Linked DNA regions of Arabidopsis thaliana. The protein of the gene in region 1 interacts with the protein of each later gene in a biochemical or structural test. Each region holds a gene or a part of one and is shown in the gene's direction. Other genes may lie near its edges.

Evidence for each region.
Region 2: the proteins of NIA1 (region 1) and MPK3 form a complex in vitro, tested with the Arabidopsis thaliana proteins (one study listed by BioGRID).
Region 3: the proteins of NIA1 (region 1) and MPK6 form a complex in vitro, tested with the Arabidopsis thaliana proteins (one study listed by BioGRID).
Region 4: of the proteins of NIA1 (region 1) and SIZ1, one has a biochemical effect on the other in vitro, tested with the Arabidopsis thaliana proteins (one study listed by BioGRID).

What each region holds. Positions count from the first base shown.
Region 1 is NC_003070.9:29,234,257-29,242,009, reverse strand, and holds NIA1 (nitrate reductase 1), read left to right. Parts: upstream 1-2,525; 5' UTR 2,526-2,642; coding exon 2,643-3,696; intron 3,697-3,774; coding exon 3,775-3,915; intron 3,916-4,007; coding exon 4,008-4,240; intron 4,241-4,679; coding exon 4,680-6,005; 3' UTR 6,006-6,289; downstream 6,290-7,753. UniProt on the Arabidopsis thaliana protein: Nitrate reductase is a key enzyme involved in the first step of nitrate assimilation in plants, fungi and bacteria.
Region 2 is NC_003074.8:16,754,114-16,759,970, forward strand, and holds MPK3 (mitogen-activated protein kinase 3), read left to right. Parts: upstream 1-2,457; 5' UTR 2,458-2,479; coding exon of another isoform or gene 2,480-2,671; 5' UTR 2,672-2,804; coding exon 2,805-2,962; intron 2,963-3,045; coding exon 3,046-3,175; intron 3,176-3,263; coding exon 3,264-3,401; intron 3,402-3,502; coding exon 3,503-3,835; intron 3,836-3,927; coding exon 3,928-4,111; intron 4,112-4,193; coding exon 4,194-4,363; 3' UTR 4,364-4,761; downstream 4,762-5,857. Other genes in the region: AT3G45645 (uncharacterized protein), read right to left, coding at 2,480-2,671; NAXT1 (nitrate excretion transporter1), read left to right, coding at 5,140-5,239, 5,340-5,557, 5,641-5,857. UniProt on the Arabidopsis thaliana protein: Involved in oxidative stress-mediated signaling cascade (such as ozone). Involved in the innate immune MAP kinase signaling cascade (MEKK1, MKK4/MKK5 and MPK3/MPK6) downstream of bacterial flagellin receptor FLS2.
Region 3 is NC_003071.7:18,135,418-18,141,910, forward strand, and holds MPK6 (MAP kinase 6), read left to right. Parts: upstream 1-2,828; 5' UTR 2,829-3,059; coding exon 3,060-3,292; exon of another isoform or gene 3,293-3,513; coding exon 3,514-3,643; intron 3,644-4,092; coding exon 4,093-4,230; intron 4,231-4,321; coding exon 4,322-4,654; intron 4,655-4,734; coding exon 4,735-4,915; intron 4,916-5,103; coding exon 5,104-5,276; 3' UTR 5,277-5,571; downstream 5,572-6,493. Other genes in the region: AT2G43780 (cytochrome oxidase assembly protein), read right to left, coding at 1,027-1,248, 1,575-1,634; AT2G43795 (corepressor), read right to left, coding at 5,718-5,925, 6,023-6,089, 6,184-6,319, 6,413-6,493. UniProt on the Arabidopsis thaliana protein: Mitogen-activated protein kinase (MAPK) which regulates abscisic acid (ABA) responses in a MAPKKK20-MKK5-MPK6 cascade involved in root growth (e.g. root cell division and elongation) and stomatal response.
Region 4 is NC_003076.8:24,292,464-24,301,764, forward strand, and holds SIZ1 (DNA-binding protein with MIZ/SP-RING zinc finger, PHD-finger and SAP domain-containing protein), read left to right. Parts: upstream 1-2,297; 5' UTR 2,298-2,572; intron 2,573-2,670; 5' UTR 2,671-2,762; coding exon 2,763-2,786; intron 2,787-3,054; coding exon 3,055-3,135; intron 3,136-3,354; coding exon 3,355-3,397; intron 3,398-3,506; coding exon 3,507-3,579; intron 3,580-3,673; coding exon 3,674-3,836; intron 3,837-4,000; coding exon 4,001-4,131; intron 4,132-4,438; coding exon 4,439-4,507; intron 4,508-4,750; coding exon 4,751-4,838; intron 4,839-4,917; coding exon 4,918-4,993; intron 4,994-5,204; coding exon 5,205-5,278; intron 5,279-5,407; coding exon 5,408-5,515; intron 5,516-5,998; coding exon 5,999-6,160; intron 6,161-6,264; coding exon 6,265-6,369; intron 6,370-6,452; coding exon 6,453-6,533; intron 6,534-6,616; coding exon 6,617-7,820; coding exon of another isoform or gene 7,821-7,837; exon of another isoform or gene 7,838-8,068; coding exon 8,069-8,204; coding exon of another isoform or gene 8,205-8,208; exon of another isoform or gene 8,209-8,289; coding exon 8,290-8,329; coding exon of another isoform or gene 8,330-8,367; and 2 more. UniProt on the Arabidopsis thaliana protein: E3 SUMO protein ligase involved in regulation processes. Mediates SUMO/ attachment to PHR1, a MYB transcriptional activator controlling the phosphate deficiency responses.

The sequences.
Region 1 (7,753 bases):
CTGATTCATAAAAAGAGTTTTTCGGATCTTATATATCAAAAAGGGTCAAATACTCCTAGATCTTTGTAGACAAGCATTTAATCAAAAAAAGTAAATTAATATGTGAGAAAATTCTTGTATTTGATGAACAAGTGGACGCATCACAAATGAATGCGTAGTCTTTGGACTAAATTTCGAGAGCTTGAAATTCATTTCACCTCCCATTTGCTTATTAGAAGCCAAACGGTTTTGAATAAGCTCCGCCCTTTCCATAAGCACATGCAGCTTACTTCTAAGTTTCCGGCTTTTCAGTGAGCTCACGCTTTCATTTAGCGACACATGGCCGTCGACTTCATAAATTTTGAGGTCACGATTTTGGTGTTAACTTCGGCGTTTTATCCATTTTTCTTGGATTTTTTTGTGGGTTCATTTTGGTAGTTCGGGTATATAGTTCACTTTAACATGACTTGCAAGATAATGCGCTACTGAAAATGTCGTTATGACATGATAATTATAAATTCTGTGCAAAGTTGATTATTACTTACTAGCATAAAGGCTTAAAACCAAAATTGACTCTTGAATTTATTTCATTACACCGGATGCAAAAGATAAAAGTTAGCGGGTCCATACGTTCTTACACATGTATCATTTATAATTAATAATCTAATAATCGAAAATCCATTTTAGTAGAAAACAAAACAAAACAGAAAATCGAAAATTCAAACAAGTGACAAAAATAATATTACGACCCGTCCCTTTGTTTGGTTGCCCCGTTCGTGTATTTGCTTGGCCGTTGGTGTTCCCATGCGCCACTTAGCCTCCAAAGTCTTCTCTCTAAACTCCTTTTTTATACCATAATCTCTGTTTAGTTTATACTTAATTGCGCTTTATCTTCTTAATCGTCATGTAATCCATAAAAATCTTCGAGATATTTACTTTCTCGACTTAATTAATTAATACAATTTCTCTATATTAAACTAGTCAACAATATGCTCAATATCATATCATACATATATGTTTTAGCCCACAGGATTCTCACTCTCCATTTTCTTATTATTACACTGACGTCTAATTTGACGTTGATTTTAAGAAATTGAAGTCAATATAGACAAAATCTATCTGTGAATATGCTGATTAATACCCTTTTATGTAATATGTATGTACACGTGATGTACTTTTAATCTTGAGTCATACATCTATGATATTTTGCATTCATTAACATACAATTTCCCAAAACTATGAGCAAGTTTACGTGTTACTTTTGTCTTTAATCATCATTCAATATTATCGAAAAGTTCGTTGCCATATCATATATTTGTGGAATAAAACTAGGTAATATTGTTCTTGTTTTACATTAACTAATGCATTTTTTTTTGGGGGGCACACATTAACTTATGCATATTCCAAATAAATAAACTATTTTGTCGCCGTGACACATTGATAAAAAAAACATTCTAGTGCTTCGATTGAAAATTCAAGTTTCTCCAAAATTTACTCTCCGCTGCATCCGCACTTTACAATTGTAAAAGAGAATACCCAGTATTTTGCATAGACAAATCTATTTTTTTTTTTTTTGATGGGTATTTTTTATATCTATGTCGTAAGTACGTTACGTTAGCTAGCTAGAACATTCCCTAGCAAGAACTAGTAGTGAGTGAGGAAGAGAAAAAAGAACTCAGCATTGCTTATACAAGAGTCCATGTTTGTGGATCCAAGGGAAGGTTTATCTCAGCTTTTTTTCCTCAAGAGAAAGGTGTATCTTGCCCGTGGTTACTCGATTGTTGTTCGTATTCAATTTATTAAATTTTATAGCTTCAAGGGAAGGCATGTGTTTCTTCTTTTTTAAGTGCAATATTTTTGTTTATTACATAAAGTACTTCCTGGAAGTTTCGTATAGACTCCAATAGGGTTTCTCTGACTTTTCCAATTTCAGTGTCGGAGTACATTAACTCTAAAGAAATAAACATGCATGAACATGCTTTTTCATATTCTACATATATTTTGCAGTCTATAATTGGTTTTTCCACTGTGGTTTACGCTAAAATAAATAATATGTTCTTGTTAAATGGCCACAAACAATTCCGACACCATAAATGTGAAACTTTTAACAAAACTATATTATCAATAACTAGCTAAATTATGATCAAGACCAGTAAACATTTCAACACTTAACGTAAAGAAATGAATTGGCTATTGACGATATAATTTTTTTCCATAGAAAACTATGCATATGTTTGTCACAATTTTTTTCTTTCTTTGTATTAAAGTTAAGTGTTGAGTGAGAGAGGTATCATAATCATAGTACCCTCCCACGATATTGCCCACGGATCGAATCCTTAGACCCGCATTTTATTTTTAACTTCATATCGCATTAGTATTTAAAAGCAAATATATATATCCTATGAAATAAAAATCTCCCGCCTTAAAGGCCAAACCTTAGGATCTAGGTAGGTGGGTCCCTCTACTCAGCGACCACACAAACTCACATTTGTCAATTTCTCCTCTCTCTTAATTTATTAATTATTTTATTTACTCATCTCTGTAACGCCCCCTATAAATACAACCTCTCATTTACTCATTCAGAAACCAAAAAATTTCACAAACCAAACCAAAACCAAAAAAATAGCTTATCTCTCTCTTATCACCGGTTCAATCACTAAACCATGGCGACCTCCGTCGATAACCGCCATTATCCCACCATGAACGGCGTCGCTCACGCCTTCAAACCTCCTCTCGTTCCTTCTCCTCGCTCATTCGACCGCCACCGTCACCAAAACCAAACTCTCGACGTCATCCTCACCGAAACTAAAATCGTCAAAGAAACCGAAGTCATCACCACCGTCGTAGACAGTTACGACGACTCCTCAAGCGACGACGAAGACGAGAGCCATAACCGTAACGTCCCTTACTACAAAGAGCTGGTTAAAAAATCAAACAGCGATTTAGAACCGTCGATTTTAGATCCGAGAGATGAATCAACGGCTGATAGTTGGATTCAACGTAACTCATCCATGCTCCGTCTCACCGGAAAACATCCATTCAACGCCGAAGCACCTCTTCCTCGTCTTATGCACCATGGATTCATCACTCCAGTTCCACTCCATTACGTCCGCAACCACGGTGCAGTTCCCAAAGCGAATTGGTCAGACTGGTCAATCGAAATTACCGGACTCGTTAAACGTCCGGCTAAATTCACCATGGAAGAGCTAATCTCCGAGTTCCCCAGCCGCGAATTCCCGGTGACACTCGTCTGCGCCGGTAATCGCCGCAAGGAACAGAACATGGTGAAACAAACGATCGGATTCAATTGGGGATCCGCCGGAGTATCTACTTCTCTATGGAAAGGTATTCCGTTAAGCGAAATCCTCCGTCGATGCGGGATCTATAGCCGGAGAGGAGGCGCGTTAAACGTTTGCTTCGAAGGAGCGGAGGATCTTCCCGGCGGCGGCGGATCTAAATACGGAACAAGTATTAAGAAGGAGATGGCGATGGATCCGGCTAGAGATATTATCTTAGCTTATATGCAAAACGGCGAGCTTTTAACGCCGGATCATGGGTTTCCGGTTCGGGTCATTGTACCGGGTTTCATCGGTGGTCGGATGGTTAAATGGTTAAAGAGAATCATCGTCACGCCTCAAGAATCTGACAGTTACTATCACTATAAAGACAATCGAGTCCTTCCTTCTCTCGTTGATGCTGAGCTGGCAAATTCCGAAGGTAAACTATTAACTTACCCTTGTCTTCTTTTACATTTTAGTTACCGATGCTAATATTATTTACTTGTTTTTGTTACAGCTTGGTGGTATAAGCCTGAATACATAATCAACGAGCTTAATATAAACTCGGTGATTACAACACCTGGTCACGCAGAGATTTTACCGATTAATGCATTCACTACTCAGAAGCCGTACACATTAAAAGGCTACGCTTATTCTGGTAATTTATTTTAACTTTGCTTTAGTTAAAAGTTAAAAGGATTCTTTACTATGTAATTAAAATCCTGATCGGTGTATTGATGAAATAAACAGGAGGAGGTAAGAAGGTAACGAGGGTTGAGGTGACTCTAGACGGAGGAGACACGTGGAGTGTTTGTGAGCTTGACCACCAGGAGAAACCGAACAAGTACGGTAAATTCTGGTGCTGGTGTTTCTGGTCACTTGACGTTGAGGTTCTTGATCTGCTCAGTGCTAAAGACGTCGCGGTTCGAGCCTGGGACGAGTCTTTCAATACTCAGCCTGATAAACTCATCTGGAACCTCATGGTAATAATCCTCTCTCTTGATATTTTTAAATTATAGAATTAATTAGTTTACTTTATTCTTTACTATATGATTTAAATAGTTTAATCTTGTTTTTGAGTAAACTATTCGATTTTGATATTTGTATTCGTCCTACAAAGTTGGAACTACTGATGATATTTTCTTTTGAACGTGATACCTACCAATACTAATCTTACGGAATCTTTTAATAGAGCACTAATCAACATGGAACTAAAGACCAATTCTTTAAGTGTCTCTGTTGTACAGTTCATTTTAGTAGTGCGTTTAAGTATTATAATCTCCCTTCATGCGGGGCAATTATGTAGATTAAAATCGAAATTATATAAAATTTACATAAGTCTAAGTCTAGGGTCTCCAGCTAATTGTTATTTTTTTAACGATGTTGACTAAAGCAATAACGACGTTGACTTGTGTTAAACAGGGGATGATGAACAATTGCTGGTTCAGGATTAGGACCAACGTGTGCAAGCCTCATAGAGGAGAGATAGGGATAGTTTTCGAACACCCGACCAGACCCGGAAACCAGTCGGGTGGGTGGATGGCAAAGGAGCGTCAGCTTGAGATTTCCTCAGAATCCAACAATACCTTGAAGAAATCTGTCTCATCTCCTTTCATGAACACTGCCTCGAAGATGTATTCAATCTCTGAAGTTAGAAAACACAACACTGCTGACTCTGCATGGATCATCGTCCACGGTCACATCTATGACTGTACACGTTTCTTGAAAGATCATCCAGGAGGCACAGATTCTATCCTGATAAACGCAGGTACAGATTGCACCGAAGAGTTTGAAGCCATTCACTCTGACAAAGCCAAGAAGCTTTTGGAAGATTACCGTATCGGTGAACTCATCACCACTGGCTACGACTCTTCCCCTAACGTCTCAGTTCATGGTGCCTCAAACTTTGGTCCTTTGTTAGCTCCAATCAAAGAGCTAACTCCTCAAAAGAACATTGCTTTGGTCAACCCACGTGAGAAAATCCCGGTTAGGCTCATTGAGAAGACTTCGATCTCGCACGACGTTCGTAAGTTCCGATTCGCATTACCATCAGAAGATCAACAGCTTGGTTTACCCGTGGGGAAGCACGTTTTCGTTTGCGCCAACATAAACGACAAACTCTGTCTCAGAGCTTATACTCCCACCAGCGCCATCGACGCGGTTGGTCATATCGACCTCGTCGTCAAAGTTTACTTCAAAGACGTTCATCCAAGGTTTCCCAATGGTGGACTCATGTCTCAACACTTAGACTCGTTACCAATCGGGTCAATGATAGATATCAAAGGTCCACTAGGGCACATCGAGTACAAAGGCAAAGGCAACTTCCTGGTCAGCGGCAAACCTAAGTTTGCCAAGAAACTAGCAATGCTCGCCGGAGGAACAGGCATCACTCCTATCTACCAGATCATTCAATCTATATTGAGTGATCCAGAGGACGAAACCGAGATGTATGTGGTTTACGCAAACAGAACCGAGGATGACATTCTTGTGAGGGAAGAGCTAGAAGGATGGGCTAGTAAGCATAAGGAGAGGCTAAAGATTTGGTACGTCGTTGAAATCGCAAAGGAAGGTTGGAGTTACAGTACCGGGTTTATAACTGAAGCTGTGCTTAGGGAACATATCCCTGAAGGTTTGGAAGGCGAATCGCTAGCACTCGCATGCGGACCACCGCCTATGATTCAGTTTGCGTTGCAGCCAAATCTAGAGAAGATGGGTTACAACGTGAAGGAGGATCTCTTAATCTTCTAGATTTGCTCAAGTTCTGTGCTATTGGAAATTCGAAAGTTGATAACAAGTATCGCTTATGTGTGTATATACATGGTTATTTGGGCACTTTTGTTATAGTTGTTGTTTATCAGAGCTCCAAATTGTATATTGTATAAAATTGTGTTTAATTATGATCTATGTTGTTGATGATGATGATGATAAATGATGAACTTATTGTAACTCAAACTTCTTGTGTCTTGATATTATCGTTTTTTTTTTGTTATTGCATGTCAGGACTCATGTCACAACATCTTCTATTTGAGTTATTATGCTTCCATAATGTGTCGTGTCATCTATTACTGGTCGTCTAATAAGTTAGTTATAGTTCACATCAAGTGTTATTCATTTAATCACGCCTGGTAAACGTTTTGTCGTATAAGACTAATAGTTTTAAGTTAGTTACCACTTGTGGTCGTGTTGCTTTCAATCGTCAGTGACAACAAAAAAAGACAAACATGCATGAAAATAAACGTTTAATGCAAAGATACGCATATCATTATGTCAAAGGGAGACGAATGATGCTACAGTATGCGTTCGATACAAAAAATGGAAAAAGATCTAAAATGGATTTTCGTTTCGGCCCCACAAGATTCGTGGTTCATACGCATTTTACAAGTAATAATATTATGGAGAATGGTGATATGTAAAAAACATTGGATCTTTTTTTTTGTCACACAAGACTTTCATAGTGAGTAACGAAAGTTAAAAATGAAGGTATCCATGATTCCATATTTAATTATTAATTATAAAGAGAATTCAAGATCCACAGTGAATAAATAATAAGAACGGATTCGGTGATATTGCAACTATATAATGAAATTGAATACTCTGATTCATCGCTTTGTATCAAGATCGAATCTCTAAAAACATATACTCTATAATAAATATCTGCAGTCGAATTGTGATATATTGTAAGCAATCTGAAAAGAATAAGTGGGATATATAAACAACCGGCGAAAGTACAAGTTCTACCTTTTTTTGGCATGGAACCATGTTTTTAGGATTTACTTTGTAATTCCTGAATCTTTCATTTCTTGAATTGATATTTACATTTTTATCAAAAAAAAAGTACAAGTTCTACCAAAGCACAGGAGTTAAACAACTTGTGTGTCAAATGCTAATTTAAAGCCTAATCTTATGATTTCCCTTTTCTTCACGATATATACTGATATTGATATGCACCCATTTGTTTGTCATTAACTTCCCACTCTATACATCAGTATCTCAAAGTCGAATAACAATATCCATAAGAAGTGGTATATTGTGAAAAAAAAAAAAAAAAGTGGTATACTGGTATATACAATACCACGGTCTCGAATTGCCTCAACAATTTCTAGGAGAAAATGGACGTGTCTCTTTGGTTTTATTTTATTCTTAATAACATACTCTATATTTTAAACACTTCGATGTCTCGCTTAAATTTCGAATGTGCCTAAATTTCTCTAATCATAAATCGTAAAGAAAATTCGTCGAAGCCACAGGGACATGCATAGGGCACGTAGTTACCTTTAAAACCATCAAAAATATATTAATAGAAAAGGAAACTTCCTAAAAGAACAATTTAATAAAGTGGATAAAAAAAGATAAGAAGGTAGGCAGAAGAAAACGTATGGCCGCGACTCGTAACAAGGGACGTCCCGACCACTGCGGAGACGGCGAGACGCTGACTGATTTTTTCTTTTTCTTTTCCTAAAGAACGTTGTTTCGTGCTTACAAGGGTCAAAACCATA
Region 2 (5,857 bases), on another chromosome or scaffold:
TCGTCTAATACAATGAAATTTCATCAAAATAATTATTTTTCTATAAATTATGATGATCTAAGTACCGGATTAAGAACAAATTACAAATAAGAATACTGTACACAACAAAACTCAAACATGTGACTTCAGAAAATATTTTACTCGTAAATTAAAACATAAACATACACGAATACTATCCTTCATATATATCTTTGTATCTAAGAGTAACTCAATGTTCAAAATAAAATACAGCTAAAAAAAGTAATAAGCAAAAGAATATGGGATAAACTATTTTAAGCTGAAAAAGTAACAAAGTGATAGAACACACTCATGCATCATTAGTTTATGTAACAAAGAAGAACTCATTTTAAGTTGTTGCAATGGAGACTTGCTTCAAAACCTTTGAACAGTCCACAAGTTTCAAGCTTTTAAACGTTCTACAGATGAACAATGGAATAAACGACTAGGCCATTCTTTTCAAAAGAGTGTTCATAAGGGAAATATCATCCACATGCATTTGGAAGCTCTTTATAAGCTTTCGATTTTGCCCGTACCTAATGATTTTCGTTTGTCCATCTAGGAAGTACTCGATTTAAAGTTTAGAACTAATTTAAACAATCATTGTTTTGATAAGGTTAAGTATTTGAAATCACTTTTAGATGACTTTGGAATAGTTTTAGAAGGTTATAATCCAGTGAAGTTTAACGATGCATCGTTATTCCTTAACATAAATAGAACTCTAACTTAAATAAATTTCATAACAAAATCAATATTTTTAACGATAATGTTGGAACATAAATTATATAGCGCATACGATTATTTAGAGGAATTTGTAAACTAAATATTAATATCTTGTTCGAACTCGAAAATAGCTTACTTTTTTTTCTTCATAAGTGTTGGCTTTGATATATAACAACAAAGTGTTACAATAGTGGAAAACTCCACTTACAGAATTCGATAGGCTAATGAGCATTACGATATTAAATTATCAAACACATATAGATAATCTCCTTTAATTTTCATCTACTCAGAATTGAACATTTTCATAATCTGCAAGTTCTGCTTTATCTTGTCTGCTTTCATTGGAAATGAAATGGTATATGTTGGTCGGTAAAAGACGAATCAAATTTGTAAACTAACAATGAACTATTGAAAGAGTAAATCTTACAGAAATCTCAAAAGAAAATAAGATACTAAAAAGGGAGAAACTGAATCTCTCACTTAATCCCCATTCGGGGAACCTTTACACTTAACACGCGATCTGATGGAGCCATGAGTGCAATCCAATCAATCCAAAACTTCTGCAAGGCCCTCTTACACAGATATCCTAACGAAAAGTAACCACAAAGATCCGCTTCTCAACTCCAAAACCAATTTGCGCAAATAGAGATTTTGCCTATTTTGCTATCTCTTTCTTCTTAAAACAAAGCCTTCTTAAAACAAAAGTCCAACAACAAAAGTCAAACCGAGCCCAATATAGTAACCCATCGAGGAAGGGATAAGAAAGCCATACAACACAGAGACATGTGTCGCCTCATGAGGAAATCACAGACACGTGACGAGAAGAACGTGTTTGTCGAGAATGCCAACCACTGCCGGCATGTTTTCTGAGATCGAAGAACGCCTACCCACCGAAAGTTCGTTCACTCCGCAAAACCAGAAGCTTCAAGTAGAGCACTGAAGACCCTCTAAAGAAATTGCACATCTAGTCTTCCTCTTCCAAACGAAATTAAACTCAGATTTAACAAACGAACGAAACTTTCTTTCATATGAAGGAAAGCGTCCACCATTCCAAAGTAGCATGAAGCATCACAATGACGTAAGCAACCAAAAAGATTTTCCGGTGAGACTTAACGTCGCCATGCCCATCAAGTGAAACTACTACAAAATTTGAACGACAAGGCTTATGAAGCCGAAACTCTTAAACTTCCACTTTTTCTTCGTAATGAAGAAACTTAATAAGTTTATTAGAAATAAAGACAAATAAAGGCAAAATACCAAAGAACGGCGACGATAAAACCGGATTTACCGGTAACTATAACTAGAACTCACCGTACGGTATTGAAACAAAAAGTTGGACCATGTCCGAACACAACCTCACAAACATACGGGAAGGCATACGAAACAAAGAATTTTTTCTTTTTCTCAAAATTTTAGAGAAAGAAGAGAATAAAAAAATTCTGATCGAAAATAGCTTACTTAAAAATCATAATTGAATAGTATCTTTTGTTTTTAAACTAATTTAGTCTATATAATAATAATATTATTAACCATCGTAAACCACACATGATATTCAATACTTATAATAAATTAATCGCATAAAATACAATACTTAAAACGAGTGTTATATAATTTTACGTAACGTAAAACAATACAAAATTTTAATTCCTGAACGAATAAAACGAGTATATTAATTAATTTATTGATCGTATTAAAACGAATATGATCCAATTAAGATTACAATTACTAAAATCCCCACACTATTATTGTCATTATTTAACTATGGCAGATAGATAGATACAGAACCGTAAAGGACGTTAGGAAGAGGAAGAACGTTGACGAAGTCAACAACGAACAGAAACCGTCGATTTGAGGCGGCTCTAATCTCAACCACACGATCTTCTCTGCCTTTCCCTCTTCTCTCTTCTTCTTCTTCTTCATCTTCTTCCTCGCAATTACCGCGAAAACTCATCTCTGCTCAATCCTCAATCTCAGTCTCTCTGTTGACTCCGACTGTTATATAAAACCATACAAATACCTTCAGATTCACTACTTCAAACCTCAAAGCAACCACTGAATCTCGACTTTGATCAATTGAGAGAGAAATGAACACCGGCGGTGGCCAATACACGGATTTTCCGGCGGTGGAAACTCACGGAGGACAGTTCATAAGTTACGATATCTTCGGTAGTTTATTCGAGATCACATCTAAGTATCGTCCTCCGATTATACCAATTGGTCGTGGAGCTTATGGAATCGTTTGGTATGTTTCCTTCTCTGAGCTTTTTCTTAAGTTTTATTCTTTGAGATCGGAGTTTTTAATTTCTGGATTTTGATTTTGTGAAGCTCTGTGTTGGATACGGAGACGAACGAGCTAGTAGCGATGAAGAAGATAGCTAATGCTTTTGATAATCATATGGATGCTAAGCGTACGCTTCGTGAGATCAAGCTTCTTCGTCATCTTGATCATGAAAACGTTAGTGTTTTTGTTCGATTTTGTGAAATATCTGTAGAAATTAGTAAATAAATCATGATTAGGGTTTTTTGATTTGGTATTGCAACAGATTATAGCTATAAGAGATGTTGTTCCACCACCACTAAGAAGACAGTTCAGTGATGTTTATATCTCTACTGAATTAATGGATACTGATCTTCATCAAATCATCAGATCTAACCAGAGTTTATCAGAAGAACACTGTCAGGTAAACTAAAAACTGTTCTTGGCTTTTTTCTGGGATTTATATTTGATAGAAGAGACATGAAACTGATACTTGATTTGGTGTTTTTGTTGTCATGGAAACAGTACTTCTTGTACCAGCTACTTCGAGGACTGAAGTATATCCACTCAGCTAACATTATTCATAGGGATTTAAAGCCGAGCAATCTTCTGTTGAACGCGAATTGCGATTTAAAGATTTGTGATTTCGGTCTTGCTAGACCTACTTCAGAGAATGATTTTATGACTGAGTATGTTGTTACGAGATGGTATAGAGCACCTGAGCTTCTGTTGAACTCTTCAGATTACACAGCTGCTATTGATGTTTGGTCTGTTGGTTGTATCTTTATGGAGCTTATGAATAGAAAGCCTTTGTTCCCTGGTAAAGACCATGTTCATCAAATGCGCTTATTGACAGAGGTAAAATATTTTAGAGAGTTATGTAATTTTAGCATGGTTTAAAGATTCTGCCTTTTCACGGAATATGTGATGAATTTGTTTGAATCTTGCAGTTGCTTGGCACACCGACAGAATCTGATCTCGGTTTTACTCACAATGAGGATGCGAAAAGATACATCCGGCAACTTCCCAACTTCCCACGTCAGCCCTTAGCTAAACTTTTCTCTCATGTTAACCCAATGGCCATTGATCTTGTTGACAGAATGTTGACGTTTGACCCCAACAGAAGAATCACTGGTAAGTTTCATACATGTTCTCTGTTGGTTTTTCTTACCATCACTATGTTTTGATTAAAAACTGAAAATACCATCTTGTGCAGTTGAACAAGCTCTGAATCACCAGTACCTTGCTAAATTGCACGACCCGAATGATGAGCCAATCTGTCAAAAGCCATTCTCTTTTGAGTTCGAACAACAGCCTCTGGATGAGGAACAGATAAAAGAGATGATCTACCAAGAAGCCATAGCACTCAATCCAACATACGGTTAGAAGTGCAGCAGCCCCGTGAATGCCTGGTATTACCCAATAACCATCCGAATGGCTACTTAGTATCTTTGCCTGTTCTTTTATTCATGTACTTCTTCCACATATGTAATCTTGTAACTTTTATTTGTTTGTTCATGTTATTTACTGCTAGTGATTAAGTGTAGCTCCAATGTAAAGTACTCCAGTTATTAAAGAATATCTATAGACTTTTTTACTTCACATACTCTTGAGTCTTCCCTAGTAAACAAAGAGAAGAGAGAATATAATTTTGTAATGTACAGAGCCTCAATATTTGTGGGAGACATTATAGAGCTAGAGCCAGAGTCAATGCTGTCGCCGTGAGTTGTCTATTCTCATTCAATGACTTTCAATAGATTTTAGTGGGATTGGCTTTAGGTAGCTTGCATTATTGAAGTAGAAATGGTCAATTCCTTAGCAATAATTAGGCACAAATGTGTCTTTCTTTAGTAATATTGTAATATCCTTTGTCTGACAATTTAGAGTTGACTTCTAAAACGTTGGGTTGGAAATAATGTTGTCTTCACACAGGCTGTTACGAAGCAGACAGTGATGGCTCAACTTGCATCAACGGAAACCTTTGAGTTTTTGTTTTACTTTCTTAATGTTTCTTTATTTGAAGCTGCTGCGCATGGAGAATAAAATATCGTGGACCCGAGAAAGTCATCATTGCTGTATTATTACTTATACTGTATATATGTTTCAGAATTTCAGGCCATTGTTGACAAAAATAGTGAAAGATTTCTGCTTGATTTTGAGACATGGCTAGTTCAGTTACTGGCGATGCAGAAACAGCGATATCAGCAGATTCAAGCACCAAACGCCGTGGTGGAGGTTGGATTACCTTTCCGTTTATGATAGGTGAGAGATTCTGTTTCTCTGTTTTTATATTTCTCATAACTTCATAACCATTAGAGCTTGGAAGAAGAAGTTGAATTTATCTTATCTTTCTATGGTGCAGCTACGTTGTTAGGCTTGACAATAGCTGCGTGGGGTTGGTTACTTAACTTGATCGTCTACCTGATCGAGGAATTCAACGTGAAGAGCATTGCAGCGGCTCAGATTGCTAATATTGTTAGTGGTTGTATCTGTATGGTTCCAGCTGTTGCAGCCATTGCATCTGACTCTTTCTTTGGAACCATTCCTGTTATCTCAGTTTCAGCTTTCATTTCTCTTATGGTAAAGTTAATAAAGAGTCCTTGACATTTGTTTTTATCAGTTTCTCTCTGAAACAGAAATTCACTAATTCTACTCTTGACCAGGGTGTAGCTCTACTGACTCTAACTGCTTCACTTGACACTTTAAGACCTAGACCCTGCGAAACAGCTTCAATACTATGCCAGTCTCCTTCGAAAACCCAGCTCGGAGTCCTTTACACGGCCATAACTCTAGCCTCTATAGGAACAGGTGGGACACGGTTCACATTAGCAACTGCTGGTGCGAACCAGTATGAAAAAACTAAAGACCAAGGAAGCTTTT
Region 3 (6,493 bases), on another chromosome or scaffold:
TCTCAATTTCAAAATTTTCAAGCCATTAATCAATATAACATCCGAAAAGCAGATAGTAAACACCAAGAAGTATCATGAAACCTGCACATTCTAAGTAAAGCCTACAAAAGCAAAAGGTTGCAATGTTTATTCTCAAGCCGCAAGTAAATAAACACAGATCATTAAGAAATCGATATCTCTCTAAAACTTGTTGTGGTTTTGCACCAGAGACGAAAAAAGGACTTCAAGTCCGGTTACAGAGATCTCACAGATTCAATTTTGACATAAAGCAAAGCAACCACTAACACCAAATTTAGTACTAGCAGCTCGATTCGTCTCAAAATCGAAACATACATGCATGATTCACCTCCCATTATATTACAGACAGTGAAGAGTTCAAGAAAAAAAGCTTGATAGATACCAAAATTCCAGCAGAAGACTTCATAGAACGAAATTACTTAAAAGAGTAACCCTACATAGAAAGAAGTTACGCACCGAAGTCAAAGGAAGGGGAGGGAGGCACGAATCGCTCGGTGTCGTCGCAAAATTACCGGAACCCTAAACCCAGAGAGAAAAAGCTCGCGAGAAAGAGGAAGAGAGAGATTCAGAAATTAAACAAGTCTGTATTTAATTTTGGTTTATTTGCAAAATATTGATAAGACCCTATTTTATGACGGAATGAACCCGATACTATTCTTTTTGTCAAAATAACCCATCTCCTGCATGTTTTTTGGGCTGACAAATTGGGTTTCTTTTGATTGATTTTGACGGCGTAGTAACAGAAATTTATGGATAGCCACACCTTAGCTTAGACCAAACGTTTAGGTACAAAGAGTATGATAAAGTTGAGAACTTAAGACAATGTCAAGAACATCAAAACCATGTCCTGATCATACATTCTCTTGTTTAATCAATGTATTATAGATTGGACTGAGACTCAAACACAGATGCCACTCGATGTCAGAAACGAGCCACTTTCGTGACAAAAGAAGCTTGGAAAGCAAAGATAAATAACGGGTTTGGTTGGACATATCAAGCCAGTGAGGATTAGACCTTAGATGGAACCTTGGTGTCAGTGTCCACCTGTTTTTGGCCTTCGAACTTGTCTATAGCCACTTGAAGCTCGTCTGTGCCACCAACCGCCCTCATTGTGTAGAAGTATACCCCAAAAACAAAAGCTGTCAAGCCACCAGCTACAACCGTGTTCTTGCCTTTTGGGCCTAGGTAACTAAAACCTGGAAATCCCGCCATTACTTCAAAGTCTTTAACCTGCAAGATCCAATGTGTCACATGTTACAGAAGAGACCCAAGTATCAGAAGTATTAGATTATGTTATATCTTCAATATCACAGTTTCATAAATACTAAGATGAGGAATAACAAGAGAGAACTCTGAAGCATGATATAACAACTTTTGATTACTCTTTTTAACATTGCAGAAGTGACTCCAGAAGCCCTGAGGCATCGCAGGACATTGACATATTGTTCATATAGTGAAAAACAGATTACACAGATTGAATACGACGAATTTTCGAATTGTTATACTTATACCTCATCCTAAGAACTACTACGCCAAGAGTAAGTGATAGTACTCACAACGAGATCAAAGATGAGTACAATCATGGTATGAATGAACAACTGAAAGTTGCAAAACATTTCAGCAAAATAGAACTTTCTTCTGCATCATAATGGAAACGGAGAGAAAATCAATTGGTCACATTCATGCCCATCAGTCTAACATAATTGTCCACAAAATCAGCGCACTTCCCTTTAACGAGTCAATCAACCATAAATCATCAACCAAAGCAAAAATAAAGGCAATTAGAAACCTAACTCTACATCTATACATCCAAAGCTAACATCTTTTAAACGCAGGCTACTGTTACTCAACCAAAGTTCTCAAAACCAGATCAAAATGTCAAAATGAAAGGAGAGCAGAAAATATCAATCAAAAATTGGTTCTTTAAGCAAATTACTCCAAAGTCCACAAAATTAAAATGGAATCGAAAGGAACCTGGTGATGAAGGTTTGATGATCACTCGAAAATCCGAAAGATACAACAAAGCTGATATTTTTTTCTTCTACAGAGAATCGTGCCTAAATGCGACAGAAGCCTAAAGTTTCCCTATTTAGTTGACAACTGGTTCGGTGACGCTTAGTGTCGTGGCCACTTACCAATCTATCGAAAACCCTAAACCCAGTAAGAGCTCTCGTGTGAAAGAGGGATAGAGGCAGAAAGCAAGCCGTCTCGAGTTCGAACCCAACTGTATAACACAAGAGAAGAGATTTATTGCTTCATTATGTAAAAAATATTGAGATGATCCTTGTAATTTTGGAATATTATCAAATTGAACCACCATACTTTTTAAAAATCCAAATAACCCTCAACCAAGCATGTTTCATGTTGTGGCCTCATTCACACTATACGACTATCAAGTTCATCGAAATTCTTGATAGAGAACTTTAAATACTTAAATAGTTAATTTAGATACTATCTAATAACTTTTGGCGGTTTATAAGTTTTTGTGTTTTTCAATCTACATAAAATTTAGCGATTTTTCATGTTACAAAAATAATCTCAAAATTAAAGTACAACCCAAAAACATAATATCAATGATAATAACTACATTTATCTATGATTCATTTTCACCCAACATTTACATTCAAAAAAATGCTGTTGTTACTTGTTAATGATAACGATTAAGGAAGGAAGTCAATGGAACAAAAAAAAAAATGGTGATAAGTCAATGTAAAACGATGCCGTTTGTAACCATAACAGTGTTAAACATGAGAATAAAGGATCAAACTTTGAACAGTGGCTTGCTTGCTTGCTTACACACACGGGTCAAGTGAAGACCCAAAAAAAAATAAAAAAATTAATAGATCCGTACGCACATGACTTTCACTTCTTGTCTCTCAGATCTGTTTTGACCCCAAAACCAACGAATATCAATTTCTCCAATTTCATTCATAATTCACTCACCCCAAAATTACAAAAAAAAAAAAAAAAAAAGATTTTCCATTTCCCTCTTCTCGATCCACCACCACCACCAACCTCAAAAGCTTTCATCTTTACCGGTCATGGACGGTGGTTCAGGTCAACCGGCGGCTGATACAGAGATGACAGAAGCTCCTGGAGGTTTTCCCGCGGCGGCTCCATCGCCTCAGATGCCTGGGATTGAGAATATTCCGGCGACTCTTAGCCATGGTGGTAGGTTTATTCAGTATAACATATTTGGAAACATCTTCGAGGTCACCGCTAAGTATAAGCCTCCGATCATGCCTATTGGCAAGGGTGCTTATGGCATCGTTTGGTAATTTTTCTCCGATTCTTTTGATTTTTGGCTTTTGCTTCTAATTGAAATAAAAAATGATTTTTGTTGATTGGGTTTTGGTAAAGTTGGTTACTTTTGATCCGCAATTTGTAAAATTGATTCCTTTGTATCGTTTTTGAGCTCTAATTATGATTGGGATTTATTTTTGTTTCAATGAAAGCTTTATCCTTTTGTGGTTTTATTTGATTTTGATTTTGCAGTTCGGCTATGAATTCTGAAACTAACGAGAGCGTTGCGATTAAGAAAATTGCTAACGCTTTTGACAATAAGATTGATGCTAAGAGGACTCTCCGTGAGATCAAGCTGCTTCGTCACATGGATCATGAAAATGTCAGTTTTTGCTCTTTCTTTGTTAACTAAGAGTCATCTGTTTATAGAGTCTTATGTAGAACATAATAGGATTGTAGATTTAAATACACTCGAAACATGGTAACTACTAGCTGATGCAAAATTGTTTAGGTAAATAGATGATGTATATATTTGATTGATATTGTATGGGCTGATTAGGTTCTGTGTATGAATGTGTTGTATCTGGTGGTTGCTTATTGCATTTAGATTTAAGGGAATATACATGAATGTTGACACAGTGTGCTTGTATTTTTTTCGGTTTGATACGGATTGTTTCGCGCTTATTCAGTAGTATGATCTTTTCCATCTGCGTCAAGATTTTAAATTCTAGAAATCAAATCGTAAAATGTAACCGTTTATCTATGTTGGCGTTTGCAACGTGTAAAACATTTCCGATTGATAAAACACTTACCATCTTTCTGTTAAATCAGATTGTTGCAATCAGAGATATTATCCCGCCACCATTAAGAAACGCTTTCAACGATGTTTACATCGCGTATGAGTTAATGGACACTGATCTCCATCAAATCATTCGGTCAAATCAAGCATTATCCGAAGAACATTGCCAGGTTTTGAGTTTTGAGATTGTTTGTTGACCTATATAACTCGACTTGAAAACGGGGACTAATTGAACTCCATTTCACTTGTCTCTTTGTGCAGTATTTTCTTTACCAGATCCTCCGTGGATTGAAATACATTCACTCTGCAAATGTGCTTCACAGGGATTTGAAACCAAGTAATCTCCTCCTGAACGCAAACTGCGACCTAAAAATCTGCGATTTTGGGCTAGCTCGAGTCACTTCTGAGAGTGATTTCATGACTGAATATGTTGTCACGAGATGGTACCGTGCACCAGAGCTTCTCTTAAACTCTTCTGATTATACTGCAGCTATCGATGTTTGGTCTGTAGGCTGTATTTTCATGGAGTTAATGGACCGTAAGCCACTCTTCCCTGGACGAGATCATGTCCATCAGCTTCGCTTGCTCATGGAGGTAAGTAGTAACCCTTCTTTGACCCAAAAATAAGCTTTGAAGCACTAAAGAAACAGACCGAGACCATTTTCTTTTTGCAGCTCATAGGAACTCCATCAGAAGAAGAGCTCGAGTTCTTGAACGAAAACGCAAAGCGATACATAAGACAGCTTCCACCTTATCCTCGCCAATCCATCACTGATAAGTTCCCGACAGTGCATCCTTTAGCTATAGACCTTATCGAGAAGATGTTAACATTTGATCCTAGACGGAGAATCACAGGTTAGTCCCTAACCTCTATACCATTTTTAACTTGCAAAATAACTGGAATTGCTTGTACGGATCATTCCAAAATCCCGAAAAAAGATTCAATCTAGTGAAGGAATAATAATAATGAGTTCTTGGTTATTTAAGAGTTAGTTAGTAGTCATCACCTCTTATTGATTCTTGATTCTCGATTCTTGATTCAGTTTTAGACGCATTGGCCCATCCATACCTGAACTCGTTGCACGACATAAGCGATGAGCCAGAGTGTACAATACCTTTCAACTTTGATTTTGAAAACCATGCACTCTCAGAGGAGCAGATGAAGGAACTAATCTACCGCGAGGCGCTTGCTTTCAATCCAGAATATCAGCAATAGTTTGAAGAACAGCATTTGGGAGATGAAGATGAGATAAGGGTTTGGCGTTATTTGGTTTGGACAACATTCTTAAAAGGAGGAAAGATCATTGTTTGTCTTTTGTGTATACTTGTGAGAGATGTTGAAGGGGATGGGTCTCAAACTTTATATTTCAGTCTTTTGGATAATTTGTTCTCTCTGTTTTTTTTTTTCCTATTCGTATTTGTAATTTGCCCTCATTTTGTTGTTGCAGTTATTTAAGACTTAAATTGTCTCAGAAATAGTTATGTTATGATAGCCCACCTTCAATTCCTCTACAAAATACTTGCCATTACTGTCAGCTTTCTTGTTTTATAAAACAGCAGGGAGAGAAATATTGCAGGGAGATGAGGATAGTACAAATCATGTCCTCGGGGTGAAAATTGAGCATTTGATGAACACAATCTCAAGTCTTGCACTGTGTCAACTCTTAAGACTGCCAAAGAATTTTGATTGTGGTGCAGGACCATCAGCCTCATCTTTACTTTGGTTTTGAGTGTCTGCCTCTAGACTTGTGTTTCCTCTCCCTCTTTGGCCTCTTAGAACTTGACCTTGACTTCCTAGATTCGTCTTTGTCACTACTTGAAGATTCAGAAGATGAGCTTGAGTCTGATGATCGCCTTTTCGAATGCTGCAAATCAATAAACACAATGTAAGCTAAAAGCTTCAAGCCAACAGAATTATAGAAGATGTTCAAACTAAACTCGATGCAGTTGTTATGTAAGCACCTTTCTCTTTTTGCTTTTCTTCCTCTTGGAATCTCTGCACTTTCTATCTGTGAGCTCTCTCTCCTTCCTATCTGTAAGATCAAATGGCATATTAGAAAAGCAAGACTCGAACTGCGGATTGTATGACATTCCATCTGCTTAAATTTATTGTAAGTGTATACCTTTCCTGGATATGTCACTAGAATAGTTCCTTCCCTTAGAGAGCTTCATTGCCCTTTCAGCATCTAGCTGAGCTCTATACTCACGCATCAATTTATCGGTATCTGCTTCGACTTCTTGCTTTTTCAATTCTTCTTCCTAAAGAGCGGTCACATGAAGCATATAGAGTGAGAAACATTTCTTATCTGTCGATGCTCCTAAAAACATCGATTTATCGATCAGCAGCTATACCTTTTGCTTCTGCTTATATTCTTCCCAAGTAAGAGTGTGTGTAGTCTTGAGACTGGCCAAACGAGCTGCATGCCATTCTGG
Region 4 (9,301 bases), on another chromosome or scaffold:
AATACCTTTTGATCAAATCTTAACAATGAAATTTGGTCTCCAAAAAGACTAAAAACTAGCAGTCAAAAGTGTTTTGTTGAGATTTATGCCTATAATTAGAATATTATATGCTAGTTGGTATGGTTGAGTGTTACAAGAATCTACTTGCTACAAAGTGACAATCCAGGAGCTGTTCATAGTACATAGTACCAACATTATACAAGGGACTAGTTATGGATAAGTCATTGCTTTTGAGACATAGTACCAACATATGTAACATGGGTCACAAAGGACTAGTTATGGATAAGTACCAAAATTTTCTCCACTATCTATGTTCATGAACATATGTAGCATCTGTGTATAGATGCAAAATCAAGAGCTCAAATAAACTACAGAGTATATACACACACAAAAAAACTTATCAATGTGAATTCTTGGAAATGAAGGTAATGCCAAATCATTGGAGATGACGTTAACAACATGACCTCACTTGGGATAATAATCCTGATAATCATTTGATTGTAGCCACATAGAAAGCAGCAAACTAAATGACAATTATGATTTAAGAGCAAAGATAGTGACAGTGTAAATTAAGTCCACTCTTCTTTGACCTTAAGGTAATAATATATATATGGATGAGGTGATACTAATAGAGTGATTACACATACAAGTGGTCTTGCTTCTTCTATGGTTTTAAAACTGCAAATAAAGATTTGCTTCGCAGGAGAGATAGCGCCATCACCTCTTCTAAGAAGTTAACTAGTGGTGACGGTATCTCTCCTACGTAGCAATCCTTATATATGCATCTTAATACGGAGAGATCAAGGTATTTCAGTTGTTCAATAATCACCCTCTAACAAAGATGCATCTTAATATTCATAAACTATTCTCTTTCTACTTACATAGTAACACCATAAAAACAATGAAACTGCTCCGTAGAGGACCTTGGTTTGAGCCTCTAGATCGTCTTCTCTTACCTAAAATGATAATCTGTTCCAAGATAGGTTCTTGCTATTTGCTCAAATATGTTTTGGTCTTTTGAATGTTAGCTCAGCAAGGAGCTCACATGATTAGCAGCACATCCTCAGCCTGAAAGTTTCAAGAAAAGCTTTATCAATTTAAGAGTTGTGTACGTTTGCAGAATTCTCACAAGTTTGGTTTGATTCTCACCCACAAGAAAAAAATGTCTTTTCTTTTACTTTCGATATGTTTCTTTGCCTTTGACAAGGGACATATAAAAATGTTAAGACGAAAAGGTTGACAAATCTTTGAAAACTATCCACATCATGAACTCAAGATATCTCATTCCATTAGAAGCAAAAAAAATATCAAGTCAATGAGACCAGCTCACGACTACTCTAGAATCTTCATTAAGCAGAACAAGGAAAATCTATAGGTCTAATTAAACCTTTTTTTAATATCTCGGGTTAACACCAAATTTGGTTCAAACTCGACAAGTCATTGTTCAAAACACAGCATCCAAAAAGATAAAAAGCCAAATCTTATCACCAGAAGTCCACCACTAATTGGTATATAATGTTTTTTTTTGTATGTAGAAATAGTGTTGAAGAAAGAGCTTCATGCTATTTGATATCTATAATATCTCATTTCTTGTAACAAATGAACTCCACACGGAATGAAGCTTTTTACATATAGAAAGAACATATAAATGTGTCCAATATCTAATTTGGTCCACGTATCAATTTGCAAGATCACATGCTTACGAGACCTCAAATATTTGGTGGATATATAAGATAATTTCCCACATGTTTTACGAACCATCCCGTAATGAGTATGAATTATCCGGTCTAGCAATCCATTCGATAGATTTACTAGTTGAAACTTGAAAGTAGGGTTTTGCTCACTTGTATCCTTTATTCGTAGTTTAACTATAATGCACATATGGAAGAATTGAGCCACAATTCTCAATGAATTTAGCGAGGGTGAGAAATGTCAATTCAATGTACATTCTATGTCAATTCAATGAAAACAAATGAAGAAAAGAGACATGAAATATGTTTCCAAATTCTTACTTAGAAGAATTAGAATCAAATAATACAATATCTACATATGCCATGAGAGACATATGGAAAACCATGTTTTCGGATGATAAACTTCCAAATTGATTTGATATATACTATAAACCGGCAAATAAACAAATTGAGGTTAAAATATAACAAACCGGTCCGGTCTGATCGAACGGCTGATGTCATAAAACGTGGGGAATATTCGATTAAAATAACAAAGACTCCGTTACGGTCGTAAATAAGTGGTGTGAGAACCGAAAGTCAAAAACACGTCAATATTGGTGGGGGGGACGACCGTGCACGTGACCACACAGGAACTAAACCCGGACGTATTGCGCGAAAATTAAACCGGATTTGATAATCGGCGACTCGTCCGGCAACCCTTGTTTTGTTTTCGTCTCGGCGGATCGATTTTTCTTCGTCTGGGTTTGGTTGTCTTTTTATTTTCCTCTTCCTTGGCCAAAGAAAATCTTATCGTAGCTGTGAAAACCCTAGTTTCTAATCATCTCAATTCTCTCATTAACCTATCAATTTCGATAGGGTTTGATCAAGTATCCGATTTCATGGTTTGTATTTTCCGTTTAATAGTCTTTAAAGGTCTTGTCTTTTGGAATTTCAAGGGTTTTCGTTTCAGTAACTCCTTCTTTTTTTTCTGTTAATTTAGATCGGTTGCTGTATGGAGACTAATTGCTGGAGTTTAGGTTCGTGTGTTTTGAACTGAGCTTTTGGTTCTTGTTTGTGTCTGGTGTTGAAGACATGGATTTGGAAGCTAATTGTAAGGTATTATTGTCTGAAAGATCTATGGATGCTTGTTGGTTTATAATTTTTGTTGATTTGAACTTGTTATGAATGTGTTGATTGGTATATAGAGTGGATGTTTCAAAAAAGCTTTGCTTTTCCGTTTTGTTTATGATCTAGATTGTATTGCTGGGAGTAAAAAACGATCCTTTATCTCATAAGGGTTTTGGATTATGGTTCGTGGTTGCTGTTATTGAATTTAGTCTTGCTCTAGTTAAGCTTAACGTTGTGTTTTTGTTGTGGGTTGCAGGAAAAACTTTCATATTTTCGGATAAAAGAGCTCAAGGATGTGCTCACTCAGCTGGGACTTTCGAAACAGGGAAAGAAGCAGGTTAGTATCGTTCTCTAATCTTCCATTGGTCGTGATTATGTTTGTGATTGTTTTGGAATGATTATAGTAGAGAAGATGATGTTTTGGGTGATAATTATTGCTGTCTTGAGCTATATAGCAGTTTCCAAGATAAATCTAAGACATTACCTTGCAAAGAGTGTTATCTGTTTTATTCTTTCACCAAAAAATTTAACTTCTTTTTGAAATTTTCTTGTGCAGGAACTTGTCGACCGGATCTTGACCCTTCTTTCTGATGAACAAGGTTATATGAACCACTTGCTTTTGTTTATTCACGTTTTGGTGTATTAAGAGTCACTGCTAGCTCTGCCATCTTCTTCTAATAAGCTTCCGTTTTCATTCCCTACTGACAGCTGCCAGGTTGTTGTCTAAAAAGAATACAGTGGCAAAGGAAGCAGTTGCCAAATTAGTGGACGATACATATAGGTGAGTGCTCGTTTCTTTCAATAGATTTCTTAGGAGATGCCATGCTTTTTGTGGCGGTTCTTTGTTACCATTAATTTTATATTGTGTTCCATAGGAAAATGCAAGTATCTGGGGCAAGTGATTTAGCATCAAAAGGACAAGTGAGTTCAGATACCAGTAATCTGAAAGTTAAGGGAGAGCCTGAAGACCCCTTCCAACCAGAAATTAAAGTTCGATGTGTTTGTGGAAACTCGCTAGAAACAGACTCAATGATACAGGTAATCTGGGATGAACTCACTGCGTTTATTCCTGTTTGAGCTGACTGTAGACAATTTCTTTGTATTTTATGGTCGATGGTGTGATGTATTTATCATTGATTACATTTGTGAAGTTTGGTGATACTTTCTGGCTGTAATTTTTGTTTTTTTTCTTCCGATTTCAGTGTGAGGATCCAAGATGCCATGTTTGGCAGCATGTTGGCTGTGTTATTCTCCCAGATAAGCCTATGGATGGGAATCCACCACTTCCGGAATCATTTTATTGTGAAATCTGCCGACTTACTCGAGCTGACCCGTATGTGTTTCAAGGATTTTACTTTTCCTGTCTGAGTTTAAGTTTGATATGTGATTGATTTTCCATCTGAGTTCCTCCCTCACTGCTTTATGATTCTTTCCTGCCATAACTGAAAAGAAAGACATATTTATACATTTGACATGCTTTGCATTCTAGTTTCTTTGCGTTTGATTGTTCTTCTTCTTCTAGTACTGTTTTCATAGTTGTCAATTTTCTTTTATATATTATTTCCTATCTTTACATTAGCACCTGTGGATATCCTATAGCATGATTATTCACGGTTTTCCTACATGGTTTCCTTGTTCAGATTTTGGGTTACAGTGGCACATCCACTCTCTCCAGTGAGGCTGACTGCAACGACTATCCCAAATGATGGGTAAGAATTTTATATTCTTGATATTGCTATTGCTTTGAACGAGTGTACTTTCAGTGCCATTATTGTGTGAATTGGTACTTTATAAGTCACTTTGACTTTAAATTTTCTACTTGGAACTGGTATAAGACATTCATTCTAGTTTCAAGAATGACAATTGTTTCCTGGCTATATGCATAGCACCTGCTGAAGAAATACTGTTACTGGCTTTTGTTTGTACTAATACTCCGATCCAAAACTTTTCAGTGCAAGCACAATGCAGAGTGTGGAGAGAACATTTCAAATCACAAGGGCAGACAAGGACCTTTTGGCCAAACCAGAGTACGATGTTCAGGTTGGGTTTTGTAAACTACATTTAATATGTCAAGGTGTATCTACCTATACGTTTCTAACTGGAAATCAATTTTGTTTAGGCTTGGTGTATGCTCTTGAATGATAAAGTTCTCTTTAGGATGCAGTGGCCTCAGTATGCTGATCTGCAGGTCAATGGTATGACAATGACATCGACCAGAGTTTTAGTCGGTTGAGCATTTCCTTTGAAACAGGGGAATGTTGTTTTATTTCATGTTGCATAAATTCCTGTGGGCACATTCCATTCACATTCACATTGTCTTTATTTGTCTGTTATTCTGATCATACTCAATAAGACTGTGTATGTTTCTGATGTGGGATTCATGATATATACCCTATCATTTCATAGGTGTGCCTGTACGTGCAATTAATCGACCTGGAGGACAGCTTTTGGGAGTCAACGGCCGCGACGATGGACCCATTGTGTGTTTTTTATCATCCCTTTTGAGTAGTAACCCTTTTGAATTACATATAGGAGTCAATCTCTCATACATTGAAAATCTAGCAATCAGTGATGTAAGTTTTAACCATTTCATTTTACTATTTTGGCAGATTACATCTTGTATTAGGGATGGAGTTAACAGAATATCCTTGAGTGGAGGTGACGTTCGGATTTTTTGTTTTGGGGTCAGACTTGTGAAGCGCAGGACTCTACAACAGGTACTGATAACATATATGCATAAGAAACATTCAAAGATTTGGTCGTATATGTGGTCAATGAAGAGTCCAAACATAAATGTTCAAAAAGGAACGAAATTAATATTCTGAATACAAAAAGAAAGAATAAATTATGTTGGCGTACCCAAGAAAGTAATTTTGTGGAAGTTACCTGTGGTTACACACTTACGTTAAACTATTCCCATGTTATTTCCCACTCCCACTAAATCTAGAAAAGTTAGTCAGATTTCAAATTTCACAGTCCTATTCTTCTTCCTATATTTCACGTATATGAGCCACTGAGCCTGGCCTTGTATGAGATTTGGTTACGGAAGTGTAGTCTGTCCTTGTGCTGCAACATTTATCCCTTTAATCAATATATTTATCACTTTTGTTGGTGTTCTTGTATACAGAGGAATTCATATTGTACGTTAATGATCTAATGATCTCCAAGTTGCTTATATATATACTCATTTTTGCATCTAGGTTCTAAATTTGATTCCAGAAGAGGGTAAAGGGGAGACTTTTGAAGATGCTCTTGCACGTGTCCGCCGATGCATTGGAGGTGGAGGTGGAGATGATAATGCCGACAGTGATAGTGACATTGAAGTTGTTGCTGATTTCTTCGGTGTCAATCTTCGGTGTCCTGTAAGTTACTAATAGCTCGTAGCCCAGTTTTTATACTTATCCTCTTCCTAGGGCTATCTTGCAGACTGAATTTTTTTTATTGTCTTTTCTGTTTGCGTCATTAGATGAGCGGTTCTAGGATAAAAGTTGCTGGGAGATTTTTACCCTGTGTGCACATGGGCTGTTTTGACCTTGATGTGTTTGTGGAGTTGAATCAACGTTCCAGAAAGGTAGGTCTACTATCCTTGTCTAGATATTGGGTTATGTCTCTTGTTTTCTGACTTTAGTTGTTCTGGGGTTTGTTAACATGCAGTGGCAGTGCCCTATTTGTCTGAAGAACTACTCAGTGGAGCATGTAATCGTCGATCCTTATTTTAACCGTATCACGTCTAAGGTATGTATTCTTATGGGAATTCAAGAATTCTTAAAATCTTTGTATCTACGCTTTTATTCAGTAGTTGTCTTCCTGCACGACAGATGAAGCATTGTGATGAAGAGGTGACTGAAATTGAAGTGAAACCTGATGGTTCTTGGCGTGTAAAGTTCAAAAGAGAGAGTGAGCGAAGGGAACTGGGGGAACTCTCACAGTGGCATGCACCTGATGGTAGCCTTTGCCCCTCTGCTGTTGATATTAAACGGAAGATGGAAATGTTACCGGTTAAGCAAGAAGGTTACTCAGATGGTCCAGCCCCGCTAAAACTTGGAATAAGGAAGAATCGTAATGGCATTTGGGAAGTTAGCAAACCTAATACAAATGGATTATCTTCCAGTAATAGGCAAGAAAAGGTTGGGTATCAGGAGAAGAATATTATACCAATGAGTAGTAGTGCTACTGGAAGTGGTAGGGATGGTGATGATGCAAGCGTAAACCAGGATGCTATTGGAACTTTTGACTTTGTAGCCAACGGCATGGAACTTGATTCCATTTCCATGAATGTTGATTCAGGTTATAACTTTCCTGACAGAAACCAATCTGGCGAGGGTGGAAATAATGAAGTCATCGTTCTGAGTGATTCTGATGACGAGAATGATTTAGTGATCACTCCAGGGCCTGCATACAGTGGTTGTCAAACAGATGGTGGACTTACTTTTCCACTGAACCCTCCTGGAATAATTAACTCATATAATGAGGACCCACACAGCATAGCTGGGGGAAGTTCAGGCTTAGGTCTTTTCAATGATGATGATGAATTTGATACGCCCCTTTGGTCATTTCCTTCTGAAACTCCAGAAGCCCCTGGGTTCCAACTATTTAGATCTGATGCTGACGTTTCAGGAGGTTTAGTTGGTTTGCATCATCATAGTCCACTAAACTGTTCTCCTGAAATAAATGGAGGTTATACCATGGCTCCTGAGACATCAATGGCATCTGTTCCTGTGGTTCCTGGCTCTACTGGCCGATCTGAAGCAAACGATGGCCTAGTTGACAATCCTCTTGCATTTGGTAGAGACGATCCCTCACTTCAAATATTTTTGCCAACAAAACCAGATGCTTCAGCTCAGTCGGGTTTTAAAAACCAAGCTGATATGTCAAATGGTCTCCGTAGTGAAGACTGGATCTCGCTTAGGCTAGGCGATAGCGCCTCTGGGAATCATGGAGATCCTGCAACTACAAACGGGATTAACTCAAGCCATCAGATGTCTACGAGGGAAGGTTCTATGGATACTACAACAGAGACTGGTTTGTTCCCTGTCTGAGACTAATGCTTTCCTGAAAACATCAAAGGGACCTAAAAATGTGGACCATGTTCTTGATGTTGCATTACCTTTTTCATCACTTTACTAAGCTGCTAGCTAGGTCTTATAAACAACTGAAGAAGAAATATCTGTTTTAGTTTCTATGTGGCGTATTTTGTCTTTGAATATGCTACTTTATATATGTCCATAGTCCATGTGGTATACTTACTGACTATTACTGCGTATTTGCAGCGTCGTTGCTTCTGGGTATGAATGACAGTAGACAAGACAAGGCAAAGAAGCAAAGATCAGATAATCCATTTTCATTTCCTCGCCAGAAGCGTTCTGTAAGACCTCGGATGTACCTCTCCATTGACTCGGATTCTGAGTAATATTCTTCCTGATTTGTCTGTTCTGTTGTGTCTCTCTTGGGATGATTCGGTGTTCCTTTTGATTCTTAACGCTATGCACAGAACAATGAACAGGATCATCAGACAAGACACCGGAGTTTAAACAAGATTTGCATAATTCTCTGTGCAGGCAAGAATTGAACCGGTATTGATATTTTCACTTGTATGATGTTGTTGACTCTCTCTTCAATATCGGTTCAGAATCTTGGCCTTGTCTGCTACACTGCAGGATGTAATTTGCAAAGCGAAGCACTGGCTGATTTAGTTTCTCTGATAGAAAAGAAAAGTGGGCACAGTGGTTCCGATTTAATTAGTAGTTTGTATACTCGAAATAGGTTTTTTTTGTGTGGACGATGATAAAATTACTTCGAAGCCAGGAGCTATAGAGAGATATAGCAATGTAAATTATGGGCTCCAAATTTTATTTATTAATTAGAAAAATTCAGCTCTTCTCCTCCATTGCAAATTGTGTTGCATGTGATTAACTTCATGGTTATGGTCAAAGCCAGAAGCCCAGAAGCATTATACTTCTCTGCCAAAGACAAAGAAGACAACAGTACTACATGATGCTCGTTTAAGGATATAACAACTGTTATAAGCTTAATCCTTGCGGACAATCCAATCCAATCCTTTCGTTGTTCATCCTGGACAAGTGTGCTCGTTGTATTCTGTTTATGTGCAAAATGATGTGGTTCGTGGTGTGTTAGACCAAGTCCAGCAATGGTTTTTAGTGGGTTTTTATGTTAGATTTCTAAGTAAAATGGGCCCAACAGAAAGAAAAACAGAACAATCCATTTAGGAGCGTTCCTAAAATTGGGTTTTTCGCGACCCAATAGAAACCCATACGTGGCTTCACTTTATTGGGTAAAAGTTTTGACTCAAAAAAAACAAAAAAAACACATTCTTCTTCCTTCTCATTTCTTCGTGTTCCGACAGAGACTCCAATTGGAATCGAAAAACAAACTCGGTTCTTTTGATTTGGAGAAGTTTCTGTTCCCGATTCCTCCGCCGATCACAATCACGGCGAGTCCTCATCCTTCTGATTCCGGTGGTGATGGTTCGAACTCGAAGTCTT